Elephas maximus indicus: one gene and its partner. The protein of the gene in region 2 interacts with the protein of the main gene of each other region in a biochemical or structural test. Links are inferred from orthologs where the notes say so. Each region holds a gene or a part of one and is shown on either strand. Other genes may lie near its edges.

Region 1 (10,165 bases), on a different chromosome or scaffold from region 2:
TGAAAGGTTGGTGGTTCAAACTCACCAGCCGCTTATGGGAGAAAGATGTGGCATTTTGCTTCCATAAAGATGTACAGCCTTGGAAACCCTGTGGGGCAGTTCTTTGTCCTATAGAGCCACTATGAGTTGGAATCAGCTTGACAGCAGTGGATTTGATTTTGAGTCTGTGTCCTTTTTTGGGGAGAGTGAGATAGTTCTAAAAAGTGTTCCACAGGATGGACATTAAAAGTTGGGTAAGATTTCTATGGGCTGGCATTGAGCTGAACTACCTGATGGTCTTTTTGAAGGTGTTGTTTTTGTGCTTGGGGTTGGATTTGAGTAGGTTACCCTTTCCCCACCTTTGGCATTCTGTGATTCACTTGCTTTGACCACATGTGGCAGGAATTCTTGAATCCCTCCCTGAGGGAGGCAGCTGTGTGTGGGTTATTCCTGAAGTGACTTCCAGGCCCATGTGATGTGACCATTCTTTTCATCCTGGTCATCAGGCCTGTGTTGCGCCATCTCTGTTCTCACCCTGTCGCCATCTCTGTTCTCACCCTGTCGGTTGGAGTGGGCTCTTCAGGGTAGAATACGATTGCTCAGGTCTGATTGTGGCTGGGGATGTCTCACAGTGGCAGGAAACAGGGACACAGGAGGGCCAGGGATGGCCCTGCTAACAGGCCCCAGGGCTCCCACTGCTGGCTGACCTGCTGAGGTTGAGAACTTCCCCTCACTGCTCTGGGCCTTAATCCTTATTTGTTGCGGGTACCTCCTGTGTTCCAGTTCCCTAAGACCCCAGGCTGGAGAGGGTGCTACCTTGGAGATGGAGAACTAAGGGCTGTCTGCTTCAGTAGCCTCAGAAAACTAGGGGATTCTGGGATGTTTGTTTCTTGAAGACTCAGGTACTCTATCCAAGGCCCTGGGTCTCACCAGGGCAGAAACTGGAAAGACTGCTGCCCCCCTGGAAGGACTTCTGTGTAGAAACTAGTTCCACTTGGGGATAGTTTCAGACACAGGAGAATGCAAGTTCTCAGTTGTTCCTGTGGTGTAAACCTGCTCTGATGGGCTGAGTATGTACCCAGGTGCTTTCCATCTCGAGGAGTGTACAGCTTGCTGATTTCAGAGGGGAAAAAAAGGCTGGGGCTTTGTTCCTTGTCACCGGATTTTGCCACCTGTGCGCTTTCTGGTACTCCCATTGGCCCTCAGCTGTTCCATTCCAGGCCATTTTGTGGTCATTCTAATGCTGGCTATGCCAGTGGCCTTTTGTGATCTTGAATTCTCTCTTAACCTCTTAGAGCCACAGTTGCTTCATCTACAAAATGAAGGTAATTATACCAGCTTTACAGGGCTTGTTGTGAGACCCAAATGAGAGAATACACATTAAGTATTCGGCTACAGGAGGCACTCCCTCCACCACCCTGTGGACGCCACATTCATCCGTTTATTTGCCTACTTATCTTGGTATCACAGCAGTGTTGGGCAGGCGTGGTGATGGCTAACCACAGAGGTGGTCACTTAGGAGCTTCAGGCCCCATTGGGGAAGCCAAGTCCATGTGTACCTGATTGGGAAGTTCATAGCCTGGGAAGTCAGCTCATGGATGCAAGCTGTGTGGAAGGACAGGAACCCCAGAGATTGTCTCAGCCACCCAGGAAAGGGAGATTACCCAGGGAGTGAATAAGTGCAGAGCAGAGAGACCAGAATACAGGCTTCGGGATTTGGCTTCTGGAACAGCAGGGACAGCTCAGTGGCTCTGGAGCCCTCTCTCCAAGTGGAAGAAGGGGAAAAGGCCCTTGGGGTGCTGGAATGCCCAGGCCCTAGGTGTCTGCCCCAGGAAATTATTCTTTCCTGACCAGCCGTCTGGGCACCAGACGTTGGCTGATTACTCTGCAGATTTCAGGGAAGCAGGGGAGTTGTGGGCTGGGCAGTTGCCATTCCTAGTTGAAGCTTGCTTCATGGTGTACTATGTCCTGAAAGAGGCCAATATACCCATCCTCTTGCTTGCTGTTGACCTAGTGTTCCCTTAGGAAATGGCAATAACTCCTTAAACAGCTGGTCCTGCTTTATACCTTCAGTTGATTTCCCCTTACAGATGAGGAGACTGTGTCAGAGGGTGATACTACTAGGAGAGATGAGGCAGAACTAGAGACCAGGCTTGAGCGTGGGGCTGTGTGCTTGCTGTTCAGCCTCAGCTGCTCCTCAGGTGTGCAGGGCCTTGGGACTGAGAAAGAGAGTCAGGGCCAGGCCCCACTTACCACATGACCTCAGACAGACAGATGACTGGGTGCACAACAGAAGATTATTTCCTGACTACTTGGACAAGAGGTGTAGGTGGAGGGGAAATGGGTCTCTCGGCCACTTAAATTGACCTGGCTTTGCCGAGGACTCACTCCTTCAGAGAAGAAGGGCCGGCCTCTCAGCCAACCTCCTACACATTCATAAACTTAGACAACAAATAGATTTTGAGGGTTGGGCCAGGCACCATGGAAACAGGGGTGACTATGGTAGACATGGCGCCTGCCCTGGTCAGGGAGACAAATCGTAAGTAAATATGTAAGTGTGATGATCTCATACAGTGATAAATGCTAAGAAGATGATATAAGATGGTAAAATGATTGACTAGGGCAGCTACTTTAGACCGAGTGGTCAGGGAAGGCATCTGAGGAGGTGACGTTTGACACATGACAAGGGGCCAAGACACGTGATGGTCTAGGGGGAAGAGTGATCCAGGTAGAAGGATTAACAGTTGCAAAGTCCTAGGGTGAAAACAGGCCCAGCATGTTCCAGAAACAGGAAGGTGCCCAATGTGGCTGCAGAGGAGGGAGGAAGCGAGTGGCAGGAGATGAGGTTGGAGAGCTGGTAGGGTCCAGTCACCCAGGGCCCAGGGCCATTATAAGCAGGAGAAGTGGTTAGGACTGTATTCCTGGTGCAAGAGGAAATCATTGGAGGGCCATGGACAGGATACATAGCACCCCTCAGACCATGAAATCAGGGGAGCAGTTGGTTCCTAAAGGAGAGACACCCTGCAGTGTCTTCTTGTCCTTGGTGACAGCTTTCTCCTCTCCTCTCCAATACATGGGCCCATGGTTTTTTTTTTCATTCCATTGTGCTTTATTAGCGCAGCCTTCTTAATCAAATATTGAAAGAATTTATATGTATAATAATAATTTACTGTAATTGTATATGTTTATATCACATTTGGACCTAGGTACCATTCTTTTGTTTTTTTAAACAATTTACAGATTTATTTTCTTTGTTTTCTTAATTTTGTTGTTTTAGGTGAAAGTTTATAGTGCAAATTAGTTTTTCATTCAAAAATTTATACAGAAATTGTTTTGTGACATTGGTTGCAGTCTGTTCAGTGTGTCAGCACTGTCTCATTTTCCCCTTCTACCCTGAGTTCTCCATGACCGTCGTCTGGTTTTCCTGCCCCTTCCTGCCTTCTTTGCTTTTGGGCAGGTGTTGCCCATTTGGTCTTGCATACTTGAATGAAGCCCATGAGGTTTAAGCCGTGTTTGGCTGTCAGTCTCTCTGTTAGAGGAGCTTTTCCTAGGCCCCATGCAGCAGGGCTGTTTTTAGGGCCTGGCCTGCAGCATAACCGGGTTGGTAGCTAATTTCAAGGGCCCCACTGTGGGTTTGGCACATCTGCTGGCGTCTCCTGTAGGCCTTGGTGATGGCCCGTCAGGCACGCGAGCTGTTCTGTGTGCCAGCCTGGAGGTGATGACATCCCCTTTCCCATTGCTCTTTTACCGCTGTCCCTGCCCCAGGTCTGGCTAGGCCAGGATCTACCTCTACTTTGAAGGTTTGGGAAAGCTGTGAGGTCATCCCCCATGAAAACATCCATTGTTTGGGCTGGTGGGTTTAGTGTGGAAATCTCCTGCCTGGTACCTTTGCTTGGAGGCAGAAGCCCTGGTTCAGGGCTGTGTTGCCCCTCTCAGAGGCCCTGGCTTCAGCCCTACATGCCAGGAACACTGCTCTCACTGGTGTGGACTGTTTTTTATCTCCAGACCAGGGTATTGTTGGGAGTCCTAGCTCTGGAGTCCACTAAACCAGGTTATTCCATTCCACCATCTACCAGACTGGTGACCTTGAACAGGTTAGCTAACCTCACTGACCACCCCTGACATGGAGTGTACCTTACTTACAGGGTGGTGTTTAGGGCAAATGCATATGAAGCCCTTAGTACATTTCTACACCTAGTAAGCATTAGTGAAAATGGGATGTAGTCATCAGCCAGACATTGATATTTCAAGAGCTTTGTCTTTGGAAACACTGACCCAGAATTTGAGGATAAAAATGAAGTTTTTTTGTTGCTTAATAGATCTCCTGGGCCAGAAATTTTACCTGGGGCCTATGACTGAACTTCAAGTCTGAAACAACCTGAAATTTTTCACAAGGCTGGGACACCTCCGTATCTGTGCAAATTTGGGGTGAGAGCCACAATGCTTAAGACATTCTTTAGAGGGTCTTTGCAACTATAGAGACCTAATGGTCAGCAAAGGCTGATGCTCAGTGGGCAAGAGGTCATTGAGGTCATTTCTGCTCCTCGTGGAGCCTGGTCTTAGTCGGCCTGCGGACTGTTGGGGTAAAGCAGGAGATGGTGTGGTCGGCAGCCCTCTTGGGAGAGCTGTAGGAGAAGCCGTCATGAAGGTCAGTCCCCAGTTTGGTGTGAGGCCACTTTTTTTTTTTTTTAAATTTTGTGCTTTAAGTGAAAGTTTACAAATCAAGTCAGTCTCTCATACAAAAATTTGTATATACCTTGCTACCAAAACCAAACCCAACCCACTGCCGTCGCAACGATTCCGACTCACAGTGACCCTATAGGACAGGGCAGAACTGCCCCATAGAGTTTCTGAGGAGTGCCTGGTGGATTTGAACTCCCGACCTCTTGGTTAGCAGCCGCAGCACTTAACCACTACACCACCAGGGTTTCCTACACCTTGCTATATACTCCTAATTGCTCTTCCCCTAGTGAGAAAGCCTGTTCCTTCACTCCACTTTTTCTTTTCTTGTTCATTCCGGTCAACCCACTACTGAGCCTTGACGTTTTGTTTCTGCCTGGGCATGTTATTTACACAGTAAATGTATTAGAAACAAGGTCAGGGCTTGCTGGCCATCCTGGGGAGCACCCTGCCAGCCTGGCCTGAACCCCTCCTTTATATAGCATGGGGATTGAAAGGGGGATTTGCACCCTGATTCTTTTTTTGGACTCCGGAATGCTGCCTCCCTGTCTCGAGTTGAGGGAGGTGGAAGGTGGATCTAGCATAATAGTTGGAACCAGAAGCCATAAATCTTGCAGTTTGCTGTACTCTGGGGGGAGAGGGGTTGGGGGAGGTGGGCCAGAACCACAATGGAGCCCAGAGCCAGAGAGCTCCCAGGCAGAGGAGTGGCCCCAGGGTGTGGCAGATGGATTTACACATAAAGGAGAACACAGCCTAGAGTGGGGTTGGAGGTCAGTGTTTGAGTCTGGGATGAAGACCCCAAATAGTTGGGGCCTGAAATGTGACTTGAAGGAGGAGCTGGAACTGACCAGGCAGATGAGGGAAGGGAGGGCATCCCGGCAGGGGGACTTGCCTGTGCAAAAACTCAGTGGATGAGCACCCAGTGGGGTCTGGTGTTTGTGCGTGGATCTGGATCAAGGTAGGAGGGAATGGCTAGGGAGGCAGGGACAAGTATGGATGGTGGTGCTCAGGGGTTTGGCCTTTAACCCAAAGGCCAGGGGAGGGCCATGGCCAGCTTTGTGTTTTAGCTTTCAGGGTTGCCCAGAGTTAGCAGAAGGAAAGCATTGGCCTTGGCCAGAGGAAGGACCCAGCTGTCAGCGATGATGTACTGGAAAGCTTGGAGCAAGACCTCCACTTCGCTGCACCTCACTGTTCTTATCTGTAAAGCGGAATCTGACCCCCTGGCTGTGGGATCACTACATGGAAATAAACACAGGAAGGTCAAGCAGGCCTCTGAGAGGTTGGTGTTGGCCACAGTGGGCCCCTAGTTTCAAAGGTTCCTTCTTAAACTTTGGGAACCCAAAGTTGGCCTGTCCCTCAGGAGAGCTCACTCCAGTCCACTCTGCCCTGCCCACCCCACCAGACCAAAGGAACCTCCATCCCTCTTTATCCCTCTATCCCTCTTCCCTGCCAAATAGATTTTCTGTTTGTACTATAAATTTATTACACCGTTAAGAGCAATACTGAAAAAGGAAAAAACATTCCTACACTTCCTCTGCCCCACCATCCCAGCACATGGTGGCACTTTTCTTGTCTGCAGATCAGCTTCCACCGTTAGTTTCTACTCTTCATCTCCAGTGTTCTGGTTTCTTGCTCTCATCTCTTCTTCTCATGCCCCCAGACATTTGCCGATGCTATTTCTCCTGATTGGCATACTCTTTCTCTAAGACCTCCACCAAGGGCTGCCCAGTCTTGCTCTGAGCTAAGGGCAGAGGGAGAGATGGCCCTCATCCATTCCTCCAGCCTAGCCCAGTCCTTTGCCAAGAGCTCTCAGGGCTGCCAGGGTGTCTTGGTTGGGGTGAGGGGGGGACGCAGCAGGGGCAAGCCTCAGTTAGTGAACTAAGCTTAGTGGATCCTAGGATGGAAAGGACAGAGATGCTGGGGGCAGACAGATCTGTGCTCTACCTTATAAAACTCAAGTTCGTATGTGACCAAGACAGTGTAGCTGAGACTAGATGTTGGTCCCATGCTTTTCCCATTTGTTGGTTTGCTTTTTGGCTGAATGTGAACTGGGACACACTTTGTGTTCCTGTGTAGCAGGCATGGATGGGTCCTAGCTTTCTCCTCTTCTGCTTGTTTTAGACTTTCCTGGACATTTCTTAGTCATCCCAGCACAGAGGTTCTATTTTTAGTACCATTACCTCCTAAGGGACCTAAAATAAAGCTGGCTCATTTTCCTGGCCCCTTATTGGCTGCATTGTTGGTCATATGCTTGGGGATTGGCTGGGCTGGTGATAAGCCACTGTCCCCTACACTGCCCCTCCCCTCTGCCTTCTCTGGCCTTGGGTGAGGTCACAGGGACGAGGGCTGAAACTAGCACTTAGCATGTTGAGCTGAGGGCTTTTCCAGGTTTAGTTAGTGAAGCTTTACAGCCACTGGCAGCATTGGGTAACATCCCCATCTTACAGAGGAGGAGGCTAAGGCCCTGCCTGAGAAGAGGAGCGACTTGCATCAGCTTCCACCACTGCAAATTATCATCTGCCAGAGTTGAGCCCTCCTCCTCACTGCTTTGGTTCAGAGTCCTGTTATCAGGGCAGAGAGGATGGCTCCCCAACAGCTGGAGACAACTAGAGAATGACACATGGGGTGGCTGTCATGGCATCCTGCAGCGAGATGTGGCGCCCCTACCTAGCAAAGGCAGAGTGGCTCTCTCATCTTGTACTTGGATTTCCCATCCAGCACCCTGGGGCCATGGTCTCTGTAGTTTTGGGAAGGAGGGCTCCCCTCAGCGACCCAAAAGAGCCAGCTTCTTAGAATAGAGGCAGTGCTGAAAAGGAGAGATGTGAAGACATGACATGCTTCCCTCTCCCACAACCTCTATTTCCCCTCTCACACTTCTTGGCTATTCTCTGAGCCTCCGAACTCATGCCTTTAGTTCTGAAGCAGTAGGGATTGGTGGGGTGGTTCAGTGGGTCACTCTCATCAATGAAGAAATGCCCCAGAACGGGCCAGGGTGGATGTCATCCAGCCTCAGAGATTTAAACTGCTCTCTTGACTTGGGGGTCACTTGCAGTTCTTTTTGGAAGTGGCTTTTGGGGAGCCAGCTTTCCCCTTCTCACGGGGTCTTCTATACCTGTCAGCACAGCCCTGGGGCAGTGTTGGGGGCCTGAGTGCTGAGTACTGACAGGATGAGGAGGGGGCCTGAGAGCTGCCATAGAAACACTCCGTACTCAGACATCCAGTAGATCCTGGTCTGCAAAGTGGGAGGAATAGCAATAACTCTGGTTTTGCAAGTTGTTGAGAGGATTAAATGAAAAGATACGGAGAGAGTGCTTAGCTCCTCCTTAAAGGCCCCTCTCCTTAGTGGGCACAGAAGGGCCTGTTCCTTGGCCCTGGCTCAACCCTCAGCACCTGGCCTGTATCTTGTATGCTTCACCACCCTGACACCCCTTTGTGTTGTCAACCAGGAGGTCCTCAAAGGAAAGGCTGAGTCTATACCACTTCCAGGCTCCCACCACTGGTTTGGCTTTGGAGGAGTCTCTTACCAGTTCCCTAGGGCCTTTCAGTATTTCCTGGGAGACCAGACCTCAGCAAAGTACTCCCTGCTCAAGGAGGCCAGGGAGGGTTGAGGGGTCAGTGAAGAGCTAGCGGCCAGCCCCCTCCTGCTTGTGCAGTACCAACTCTTCCCTCCTTGTCTCTTGCTGGTCCTGCAGGTTTCAGCAAGGCTGGGCAACACTCCAGAATGGGAGACAAGCCAATTTGGGAACAGATTGGATCCAGCTTCATTCAACATTACTACCAGTTATTTGATAACGACAGAACCCAACTAGGCGCAATTTACGTAAGTCTCTAGCTCTAGGGCCAGTGTGGGGCCACAGGGCATCAATTTGGGTTTTGGGCCAGTATATCCAGGTCATGCACAAGTTCTGGCAGACCTGGTTGGACTTGGCTGGACCCTCTGAGCTTCTGTCTATGTGATAAGGGGCCTGAGGTCTGGGCCAGCCATCTGGTCTAAACATTGTCGACTTTATCATCTTCCATAAGAGTGGGGAGTCCTGGTACACTGAGCAAGGTGTATTCTGGCCTTGCCATTTCATGTGACTTGAACCCTGGCAGGGCACATCGTCTGGGACATACCTCTGTTTCAGGTTGGGACAGCAGTGGGCAGAGGCCAGGGATCATGGTGCCCTGTGATGGCAGCAACCTTGAGCATCCTAGTACAAAGCTGAGCTCTCCTGGAGGCCCTGGGTGTAGCTACCTGTTAGGGGTTGAAAAGCCCTTGAATGCTATGGGAAACAAGCAGGATTAGCCCAGGGAGACTGGTGTGTCACCTGAGAAACCCTTCTATGCAGGCATCGTTTGCTGCTCTTTTAATGGTGTCCTTATACACCAAAAACTACTTGTATTTGACACTGCCCAAGATTTCATCACAGAAATGTGATTGATCAGGCTACTGTCTAGCATGTCTGCCCAGGGTCGGGGTGATAGGAGTTATCCAAGCATACCCTCAGAGCCTGACTGGACTATGGGCAAATTCCTGTCTCTGCCTCCAGAAAGTCAGGGTCCGTTGAGGGAAAAAGAAAAGTATTTTACCAGTGGAGGCCAAGTCCAGCACAGGTATGAGTTGATCCTCATTATCGTAGGTAGAGACTAAAAAAAAATACTTGAATTGATCTGTGGAATCCTGGCACTTCTGCCTTATTACGTCTTTTTTTTTTTTAATTTGTTGTTGTTGAGAATAAACATAGCAAAACATACATCAATCATTTCTACACGTACAATTCTGTGACATTGATTACATTCTTTGAGTTGTGTAACCATTCTCACCCTCTGAGTTGTTCCCCCCCGCCCGTTAACATAAACTCACTGCCTCCTAAGGTTCCTATCTAACCTTTTGAGTTGCTGTTGTCAATTTGATTCCATATAGTTAGTTCTTAAAAGAGCATAATGCTCAATGCCTCATTTCTTCTTAAAATCAATAAAAGCAGGCCTGACCTAGAGAGGAGAGTTAGCAGGGTCCTAAAAGAGCACTTTATGTACATCATTTCATAAAAATCTCAGCACATTTCCCTTTGAATATTATAAAACTGAGACTCAGAAAAATAAGTGACTTGCCTAATGTCATAGGTGGTAAGTAGCAGAGGCACTGTTTAGTTCTGCGAGGAAGGCTGTGGAAGGGAGGACTTGAAGGGGAGAAGCTGGACTAGTGGGTGCATGTGCCTGTCTGGGATAGGAAAGGCCCCAGACTGGGCCTTGAGAGGTCTTGTTGGCCTCCCTCCCTACCTGAACCAGAAGGCTAGCTGGAAGGGCCTCAGTGGAACTCAGTCTGGGCCCTGGAGGTGGTGATGAAAAAGGAGTCCTTCAGAGTTATTTCCGATGGCTTCTCTGGGACCAGTGCTGACTGACCACACAACAGGATGGCTTTTGGCTGAGCCATCCTAGGGCCCATGCATATCAGTGGCCACGTGAATTCTTGAATAAAAACTGGGAATTGGACTTACCTAGCAAGTGTACTTTGTTAAACAGT
Region 2 (9,372 bases):
TCTGGGGGAAAAAATGATCAAAAGCTCTAGTGTGGCCAACTAAAATCCTCAGTCAGTCAAAACATGTTTAAAGATTCAGGTTACTTGGAGCCAGCGGTAAACATGAAACTTCTCCCTAGAATATCAATTTTTCACCAAGCATTTAACATTAAAACAAAAAACAGTACAAAACATGCAATCATTTAACAGATTAGACTTCCCTTGTGTTCCTGCTGTCAACTAACTGTACGATTCTGTCCAACTTCAAGCTCTACATTAACACGGGATTACCTCTGCCATAAAAGCAACTGTAATTCTTAAAACGTCTGAAATATCCAAACCACATACCACCTTTACTGACAGCTCACATATAAACAAGCTTTTCAATAGGTGATACTATTTTGCCTAAACGAAGACAGACGGGTTTTAGCTTAACATTTATACTTCGTTTCTTATCAAATCCTTTGTCATACCAGCCAGCTTGTGAGGATTCCAATACAAAGTAGATGAAGGGAGTAATTAACCTAACAGGTTTCTGAGTGGTAATAACGAAGCCTTTTTAAACAGTAACCTGGCACAAATTCCTGGGTAGTGGTTTTAAAATCAGAAACAAGGGATGAGTTCACTTGCTTAGGTATTTGAAATACAACTTTATTCTGGTTCTAAACGAAAAGGAATGGGAATGACAGGAACAAACAAGATTTCACCACTGAATATTGTGATGTGACTGTAGCAGTCTTATATTTGAAACTCAGGAAGGAAACAACTGCGTTCCAAAACAGCTAAATATGCAGGTCCAAAAAAATGAAGGTTTTTTTTAACTGCCACATTCACTCCGAAGCCCATTCATCTCCTTCAGCATCCCAAAGATTATTATATAGCTAAAGTGGCAAACACGCTGCACCACTGACATCACAGGACAGTTGCCTATAAAACTAGACTTCTGACGCTGGGCTCCAGCTTCATTCTCTCACAGGTCGTCATCCTCATCCGGGAGAGCAGTTGTCTGCGCAACCTAGAGAAAAGAGAACAAGAGATTATTAATGTGGCAGGTTAAAGTCATTTAAAAGTAACATGCCAAATCTGAGAGCATTAACAGAAATTTTAACGTGATACCTCTAAATCATGCTCATATTGTGCTGCCAAAGCTGGGTCCATGACAACCTCTGGTGGGGCAAGAGCAGGCATGGCAACAAACTCCAAGTTAGGATCTCCAATTAGTTTTCTAGCAAGCCAAAGGAAGGGCTTTTCAAAGTTGTAGTTACTTTTGGCAGAAATGTCATAGTACTGTTTAAAAAAAAGTAAAATTAGTGTTTTTAAAAAAGTTACTAAAACAATTATTCAGGGGACATTCCACTAAGACAAAAATTTTCAATCCATACATAAAAAAAGACATTTATAGATCAGTGTCAGACCTATGCACAATTTTACCTAAGAATCTTAACTCAGTAAGTTAAGAAACATACCTGAAGATTCTTCTTTCGGTGGAAGACGATGGATTTTGCCTTAACTTTCCTGTCCTTGATGTCCACTTTGTTGCCACACAACACAATGGGGATGTTTTCACATACTCGAACCAGATCCCTATGCCAGTTAGGCACGTTCTTGTAAGTAACTCTCGATGTTACATCAAACATTATAATGGCACACTGGGCTGGAAGGAAAACTTGTAGTGATTAGAACACACCTAGGAGTTTACTACACAGATAAGAAATGCTAACAGCCATGGACCAGAGAGACTGTTATCTCAGGCCTGCTCTGTGTCATCTACAGCCCTCTATTTCAAGTGCTCTTTCAATTTTGAAAATCTTAAATGACTATAACAGTATAGTTTAAAATTTATTTCTTTATTTTATTGAGCTTTAGGTGAAAGTTTACAGCCCAAGTTAATTTCTCATTCAAGAACTTATACACGTTATTGGTTTTTTGACATCGGTAGCAATCCCCACAATGTGACAGCACACTCCCCCTTTCTACTCCAGGTTCCCTGTGTCCATTCATCCAGTTCCTGTCCCTTCCTGCCTTCTCTTCTTGCTTTTGGGCACCTTTATATTTTTTTAAAACAGCTTGAAAGACATGACTGTATAAATTTCTTCTCCTATACCTCCCAAATACTTCATTAACACTGCCTCATTCCCCAGGAAGTATCTGAAGTAGATTAAGGGCCTAGCATGGAGCCTGGGAATCCTCATTAAAAAAAATAAAACCTCATAAAATTTATTGAATGTATACTAGAAAATAGTATAGTTCTATTTCAAAAACCTCAGATAAATCCATATATTGACCTGTAGGGACGGTCATAATATAGTTAAAAAGGCAATAAACTACAGACTATTTACAAGCATGATATAACTTCTTTCTTAAAAAACAAACCCTATGTGTTCATTTGCACATGGTCAGAGCAAAAGGTGTAGACATTTTCAAACAACTCTGCATTAGGAAAGTGAGATTTCAGGAAAAATTAGTATTTTGTTTATTCATCTTTGTTTTGTTTGGTGCCACAATGACCATTTATTTCTTTTACAGTTCTTAAATACTTTGGAAAAAATTCTGTAAAAACTGGTACAAAGGAGAAATTAGTTGTCTTATACAACACTTGTAAGATATAGAGCCTAGCTCCTCCGATCCTAGTATCTGGTCAAAGTGGTTTTAACATAACAAACAAGAAATAATCCTTAATAACCACCAAAATATATACCTGAACCCACATTTCCAAATACTTAAGTTGCAGCAACAGCTTGTCTGTTGCTTACTGTTACTGCTTTTAAATTTTGAGCCTCGGTATAAATCATAATTTTGTTTTCTTTTTCAAAATAACACCTAGCATGACAAAGCATGAAATAAAATGACACACGACAACTTTCGTATTTCCTCCCCCTCCACCTATAAAACAATGGTCAGCTTGCTGTAGGCAGCATGTCTTTTTTTAATGTAATTATATAATCCCCAGTACACCCAGAATTAAGCCAAGTATATGCTGGAATGGACTTTGGACACTAGAATACAAATTCTTTCCAAAACTACTCAAGTCACAGAGGAGACACCTACCTTGGATATAATAGCCATCTCTCAGTCCCCCAAATTTCTCCTGACCAGCTGTATCCCACACGTTGAATTTAATGGGTCCTCTGTTAGTATGGAACACAAGGGGATGGACCTCAACACCCAAGGTGGCTGAAATACAAACATTTCAGATTAGTCACTGAATTATTCACTTCATAAAAATGTCCACAGACCCTTTTCTCCCCCCACATACCTACATACTTCTTCTCAAATTCACCAGTCAGATGACGTTTCACAAATGTAGTTTTTCCAGTACCACCATCACCAACCAATACGAGCTGTTGGGATACAATTTTCTTTCAAGAAACAAACTCAAAATATATTTCACAAGCCTGGAATCACGGAGTTGTTAGAAGTGCCTGGACAGTATTTTAACTCAGTTAACTGATATTTACACTTAGTTATTACGTGGCCCTGTTACATCTAAATGCTGTGAGTAAATCACACACGAAGACAGTTTTCATATAACGTCCTCCCCTTCCACCCAAATGGGGGTCAACTCCTCGGAAATAGCATGTCTTTCCCAAGAATTATGTAACCCCCGGTACGGGCGGCCCTACTGAGTTTCCTCACCCACAAACCAGGGCTAGCCCCCCTCCCCCGTCACGGAGAGAGAGAATTAAAGGACCTCGTGCGGTGTCAGCACACACAAAGCGGCCGGTCAGCAGGCGCTGGCAGGGACCGAGGGATCCCCTCAACAACAGCCGCTGCCCCGGCCCCTCCTGCCCGCCCCCGGCCAGCACCAGCCCAGAGGGGCCACCACCAGCCCAGAGGGGCCACCACGTACTTTAAACTGGACTTGGGGTTCTCCTTGGGCAGCCATCGTGATGGTCCTGCAAAGGAAGGGGGACGGCGTGACGCGGCCGGGTCGCCACATGGCCGGCCCACCCTGGACACCCCACGTGCCGCCGCGGCCACAAAGGCCGCGGCCCATTCATCCCGCGGGCGGGCGGGCGGGCGGCCGAGGAGGGCGGGGGTGCACGGGCGCCATGGCGGCCCTTCCCGACGCCCGAGACGCCGGCCGGGCCTGATGGGCCCAGGGCTGGGCGCGGCCGAGAGCGCCTGGTCACGGGGCCGCCGGGCAGGCCGAGGCGCAGCCCGCACCCCCGGAGGCCGCCCCGGAGCCTCGCCGCCCGCTCGGAGCTCCGGACGAGAGCAGGGACGGCGGCCCCGAGGCTGTGGGGAGGAAAGCGCGCCAAGGAGGCCGCCCGCCCGCCCGCCCGCCGTCCCGGAGCTAACCGTCTCCTCAGGGCCGCCGCCTCCCGCCCTCCGCTGCCCTCCGCTCGCCGCTCCGCCACGGCCCCGGCCCTCCCCGGCCGCCCGCCGGCCCTCTCCACCCCAGCGCCCGCTGCCCGCCGCTACCTTCGAGAAGCGTCTCCGGGCCCCGTCTGACTGAGGGATGGAAAGATGGCGGAAGCGCAATTCAAATGCCCGGAGACGCAGACGACGCCGGCGCGCGCTCAGGGCGGGGCAACGACGCGACGCGCTCCCACGCGGCCCCGACGGGAGCGCGCACGCACGCAGGCGGTGAGGGCGGCCGTAGCAGCCGCCGGGCCTGTGGGGCGGGGCTGGCGGCGCGCAGGGTGGGCGCGCGCGCTCCCGCCGGCCCTCGCGGTCCCGTTCCCGGCGGACTCCGGGCGCATGCGCCGACGCGCTCCCGGCGCGCCCAGCTCCCGCCGTGACTCAGAGGCGGAGGACGGGCTGCGGGCCTGGGCGGGAAAGTCGGGGCGCGGCCGGCGCACGCGGAGCACCGGGCCCTCAGTGCCGGGGGCTGGGGGCCTTGGCGTAGCGACCCACGCGTACCAGTTGTGCGAGCGTTCGCCATGGTGCAGGAGGCCCCCGCTTGTCCCGGGCTCCGAGCCATCCCTCCCTTGTCTCCCACATGCTCTCCCCGACCTTTCCTGTCACCACGTGCTCCCCGCAGCGTGCCCAGGGCTTAGGGAGGGTCTCAAACACTTGGAGAATGAACGAACCAGTCCTAAACCACTACTAATCCAAACCAAAAAGGACCCAAGCCCCTTGCCTTCCGGTCCGTGCCGATTGCTGGCGATCCGCTGTCATGTCAGAACTGGGCTTCATAGGGCTCTCAGCGCTCCATAGGGTTTTCTTGGCTGGTTTTTTTGTTTGTTTTTAATCTTTATGGAAGCCGACTGTTCTTAGACGCCATATAGTTGATTCTGACTCATAGGGACCCCTTGTGACAGAGTAGAACTGTCCCATAGGGTTTTCTTGGCTGGTAATCTTTATGGAAGCCGACTGTTCTTAGACGCCATATAGTTGATTCTAACTCATAGGGACCCCTTGTGACAGTGTAGAACTGTCCCATAGGGTTTTCTTGGCTGGTAATCTTTATGTGAGAACATGGCCAGGTCTTCCTCCTACAGAGCCACTCAGTGGGGGGGTTCTAACTGCCAATCTTCAGGTTAGCAGTGGAGCGCTTAACCATTGTGCCACCAGGGCTCCTTATGGAAGCTCATTAAAAACCCATTGCCACTGAATGGATTCTGACTCGGCAACCTTATAGGACAGAATGGAACTGCCCCATTGGGTTTCCAAGGAGCGCCTGGTGGATTTGAACTGCCGACCTTTTGGTTACCAGCCATAGCTCTTAACCAGTATGTCACGAGGGTGTCCGGAAGCCCAATGCCAGGCCTTAATTCTGAGGGGCCACTGGGTGGGTTTGAACCACCAACCTTTAGGTTAATAGCTTGTCACAAACTGCTTGTGACACTGAGGGACTTTACTCCCAATCTAAACAAAAACAAAAAACTCTAAACCCATGGCCATCAAGTTGATTCCCACTCATGGCGACCCTGTAGGACAGGGTGGAACTGCCCCATAGGGTTTTAATCGACTCCACGGCAGTGGTTTGGTTTTTTGTTTGTTTGTTGAATCTTCATAGAAGCACACTGCCATATTTTTCTCCTGAAGAATGACTACTGGGTTCCAACCACCAACCTTTTGGTGAGCAGCCGAGTGCTTAACCGCTGCACCACCACAGCTCCTACTCCTAATCTAACCCATTGCCGTCGAGTTGACTCCAACTCATAGCGACCCTATAGGACAGAGTACAACTGCCCCACAGAGTTTCCAAGGAGCACCTGGTGGATTCAAACTGCCAACCCTTTGGTTAGCAGCTGTAGCACTTAACCACTGTACCACCAGGGTTTCTTCCACAACTAATCTAGGGCCTACCAAAACCAGGTCTACATCCCATTCACTCCAGAGTTCAATCTTCTTACTCCCAGGCCTCCATCAGCACCAATACCAGTTGTCATGGAGTCCATTCCAACTCATGGGGACCTCGAGTATGTCAGAGTAGAACTGTGCTCCGTAGGGTTCTCAGTGGCAGGTCTTTCAATGGAGGCACCTCTGGGTAAACTGAAATTTCCAACCTTTGGGTTAGCAGCAGAGGAAGGGGTGAATGAAGCAAGGATTGATAGTTACTTTCCCACGATGAAACACAAGCTACTTTTGTCTTAGCACATCTGATCAGTCAGTCTTTGTGGTCATGTCTAGCCAACAGAACGAGGAAATTCTGTGTTTGGACCTTGGCAGATGTTCTAATCCTAGTTAAAAACCTGGATGCAGTCAACAAGTTTTTGGGTTCCTGACACTTGTAGGGAGAATGTGATGAGCAGTCCGGACCAGATTGTGCACTGACAGAACTCACATGCCATGGGGTTGCCTACCTCATAGGGTCCGCAAGCTCAACAAGCATTAGCTGTTATCATCACCCACTTTTAGTAAGGATGTGGACAGAATGGCGTCCTCCAACCTTGTCTCCTGAGTCTAAAGTCAGGTTTTGGCATCTGTGTAGAGAAGCACAGATTTTTTTAACTGACGTATTGGAACCTCCTTCCCAATTCATTTCTGGCAGCAAGAACAGATAGCTAGTCACAGAGATCGGACTCGCCAAGTTCCCCCAGAAAAGATTTCACCATGAGGACTCTTCCTTGGCCAAAGAGAACCCAAATGACCAAGAAGAAGTTAGCATGTAGTTTTAAGCACACCTGTAAGTAAGTATATTGGGAACTCAAGTGATGCAGATTGGACACAACACATCAGAGGACCTGCCTGCTGGGAACTCAAGTCCAAGTTCCCTATAGGACCCTCAGGAAAAAGCCAAGTGAAGACTCAGATGCTGCTGGCGGGAGTGCGAATTGTTACGGCCTCTTTGGAAAACAGAAACTAGTAAAACTGAAAGTATCCTTAGCTGTGGCCCTGGATTTCCATTTCTAGGTAGGTGCACTAGAGCTAATCTCCCATGTTTGCGCTGGGAGACACAACGCCGACTCTACCTGAACACAGGAAGAGTAATCCTAAATAGCAGCGTTACAGTTTAGTAAAAATCAGAGATTTAAATATATAAACGTACTCAAATGTTAATGCTATTTCATGTTGAAGGCTAATGGTTAAGCAAATAAAACATTCACCAGATACACGGCCAGGCTATTCCATTTATTCAATTTCCACAAACTTTGTTGACTTTGCAAACCATTAAGAAGCTGTCCTTAAAGACTTCATTATTAACTCATTCACCAGTCAAAAATACCAAATGAGATATTTTCCTTATCTGACACTCAATTTTCTACATAGGGGGCACAACAATGAACAAATTACATGTTACTTCTTAGTCACTATGAGTCGGAATTGACTTGACAGCAATGGGTTTGGTTTTTGGTCTCAGCATTAGCGCCAGCGTTATTTTCCTTAAAAGCAAAATGGTGAGATTTGTCATATTTCCATGCAACATGGTTGACCAAGCACCTCTTTCATCTAAAGACCAGATTACATGGTCAAGCGTGCACATGTTGCCGTCCAGTCCATTCTAACTCATAGCGACCGTATAGGACACAGTAGAACTGCCCCATGGGGTTTCCAAGAGGCAGCTGGTGATTCGAACTGCTGACCTTTCAGTTAGCAGCTGAGCTCTTAACCACCGTGCTACCAGGGCTCCCAGATTAGTACAGAAGGTACAGATTAGTGGCCTATCTACTAACTCCAACCCTGAGAGGTGTTGTTTGACCAGGCTGGGTCACAACATGTTTTATATCTGAACTGGTTGCCAGCATTTAAAAATGTGATGGTTTTAAAATACACCCACAAATTCTTTGATACTCCTCCCCTGAAAGGGTTGAGCCTCATTCCCCTCTCCTTGAGTGTAGGGAGGTCCAAGCGACTCATTTCTAACAGATGGCCTATGTCAGAATGGACAGTTGTGACTTCCAGGACTCAGTCATAAAGGCTTTCACCCTGCTCCTTGGATCACTCACCCTGAGGGAAGCCAAATACCATTCTGTGAGGACAAGCAGGCAACCTATGTGTCCTGTAAAATTTAACCTTGCCCTTGGCTGTGAGGAGGTAATCTCTAGTCTCTGTTTGCCTGGGGGCCTTGGGTCTCATTGGATACTCTAACAATGTGATTTCGGGTGGGGGCTGGCCACACCTGATAGTCTTAGGGTGGGGCTAGATCAGAAGGACCTACAGAGTGACAACAGTGTGGAGGCTTTGGGGCAGCTGCATCAGACAACCTGGAGATTGAGATCAATCCATCAATCAATCAATCCTCCTACGTAAAGGAGTCCCCAAAACAACTCTGAACACCAAGGCTTGGGTGAGCCTCCCTGGTCCTCAACACTCTGTGCGTGTTGTTACGCGTTGACACCCAACCCATCCTGACTCCACAGGGAGAGGACAATGGAAGCTCCTTGTTTGGTACATGCCACTGCCTGGCCTTAGTAGGTGCTCAAACAATATTTCTTGAATTAGCCCACGCACCCTTAACTTCCTGTTGTTGTTAGGAGCTGCTGTTGAGTCGGACCCCAGAACCCCGCACCATTGCCATGTGTGGTTGCAGATCAGAGCATTGTACTCCATGTGGTTTTCATTGGCTAATTTTTCGTAGTAGATCGCCAGGCCTTTCTTTCTCGGCTATCTTAGTCTGAAAGCTCCACTGAAACCTGTTCAGCATCACAGCACACAAGTCTCCAATGATAGATGGGTGGTGGTATGCCTGAGATGCACTGGAGAGGAATTGAACCTGGGTCTCCTGTGTGGAAGGTGAGAATTCTACCACTGAACTCTCCTGCCCTCAACAGTATATTAGATAGCGATGATTGCTAAGGAGCAAAATAAAGCCATGAAGGAAGATTCAGTGTGTCAAGAGGAAGGAGTGGCCATGCAGGTAGGGTGGCCAAGAGGCCTTCACTAAGATAGTGATGTTCGAACAAAGACCCGCAGAAGGTGAGGGAAGGAGGCACGGATATTTGAAGGAAGAGAATTCCAGGCAGAGGGAATAGCATGTGCAAAAGCCCCAGGGAGAAGCCT

Evidence for each region. The genes of interacting proteins can lie anywhere in the genome.
Region 1: the proteins of RAN (region 2) and NUTF2 form a complex in vitro, tested with the Homo sapiens proteins (3 studies listed by BioGRID, with this or other methods). The link is inferred for Elephas maximus indicus from reciprocal best matches to the Homo sapiens genes RAN and NUTF2.

What each region holds. Positions count from the first base shown.
Region 1 is NC_064839.1:34,292,095-34,302,259, forward strand, and holds the start of NUTF2 (nuclear transport factor 2), read left to right. Parts: upstream 1-5,719; 5' UTR 5,720-5,898; coding exon 5,899-5,938; intron 5,939-8,351; coding exon 8,352-8,479; intron 8,480-10,165. UniProt on the Homo sapiens protein: Mediates the import of GDP-bound RAN from the cytoplasm into the nucleus which is essential for the function of RAN in cargo receptor-mediated nucleocytoplasmic transport.
Region 2 is NC_064840.1:1,473,601-1,482,972, forward strand, and holds RAN (GTP-binding nuclear protein Ran), read right to left. Parts: upstream 4,499-9,372; 5' UTR 4,405-4,498; intron 3,876-4,404; 5' UTR 3,866-3,875; coding exon 3,830-3,865; intron 3,321-3,829; coding exon 3,236-3,320; intron 3,154-3,235; coding exon 3,028-3,153; intron 1,634-3,027; coding exon 1,446-1,633; intron 1,267-1,445; coding exon 1,096-1,266; intron 995-1,095; coding exon 950-994; 3' UTR 615-949; downstream 1-614. UniProt on the Homo sapiens protein: GTPase involved in nucleocytoplasmic transport, participating both to the import and the export from the nucleus of proteins and RNAs. Switches between a cytoplasmic GDP- and a nuclear GTP-bound state by nucleotide exchange and GTP hydrolysis.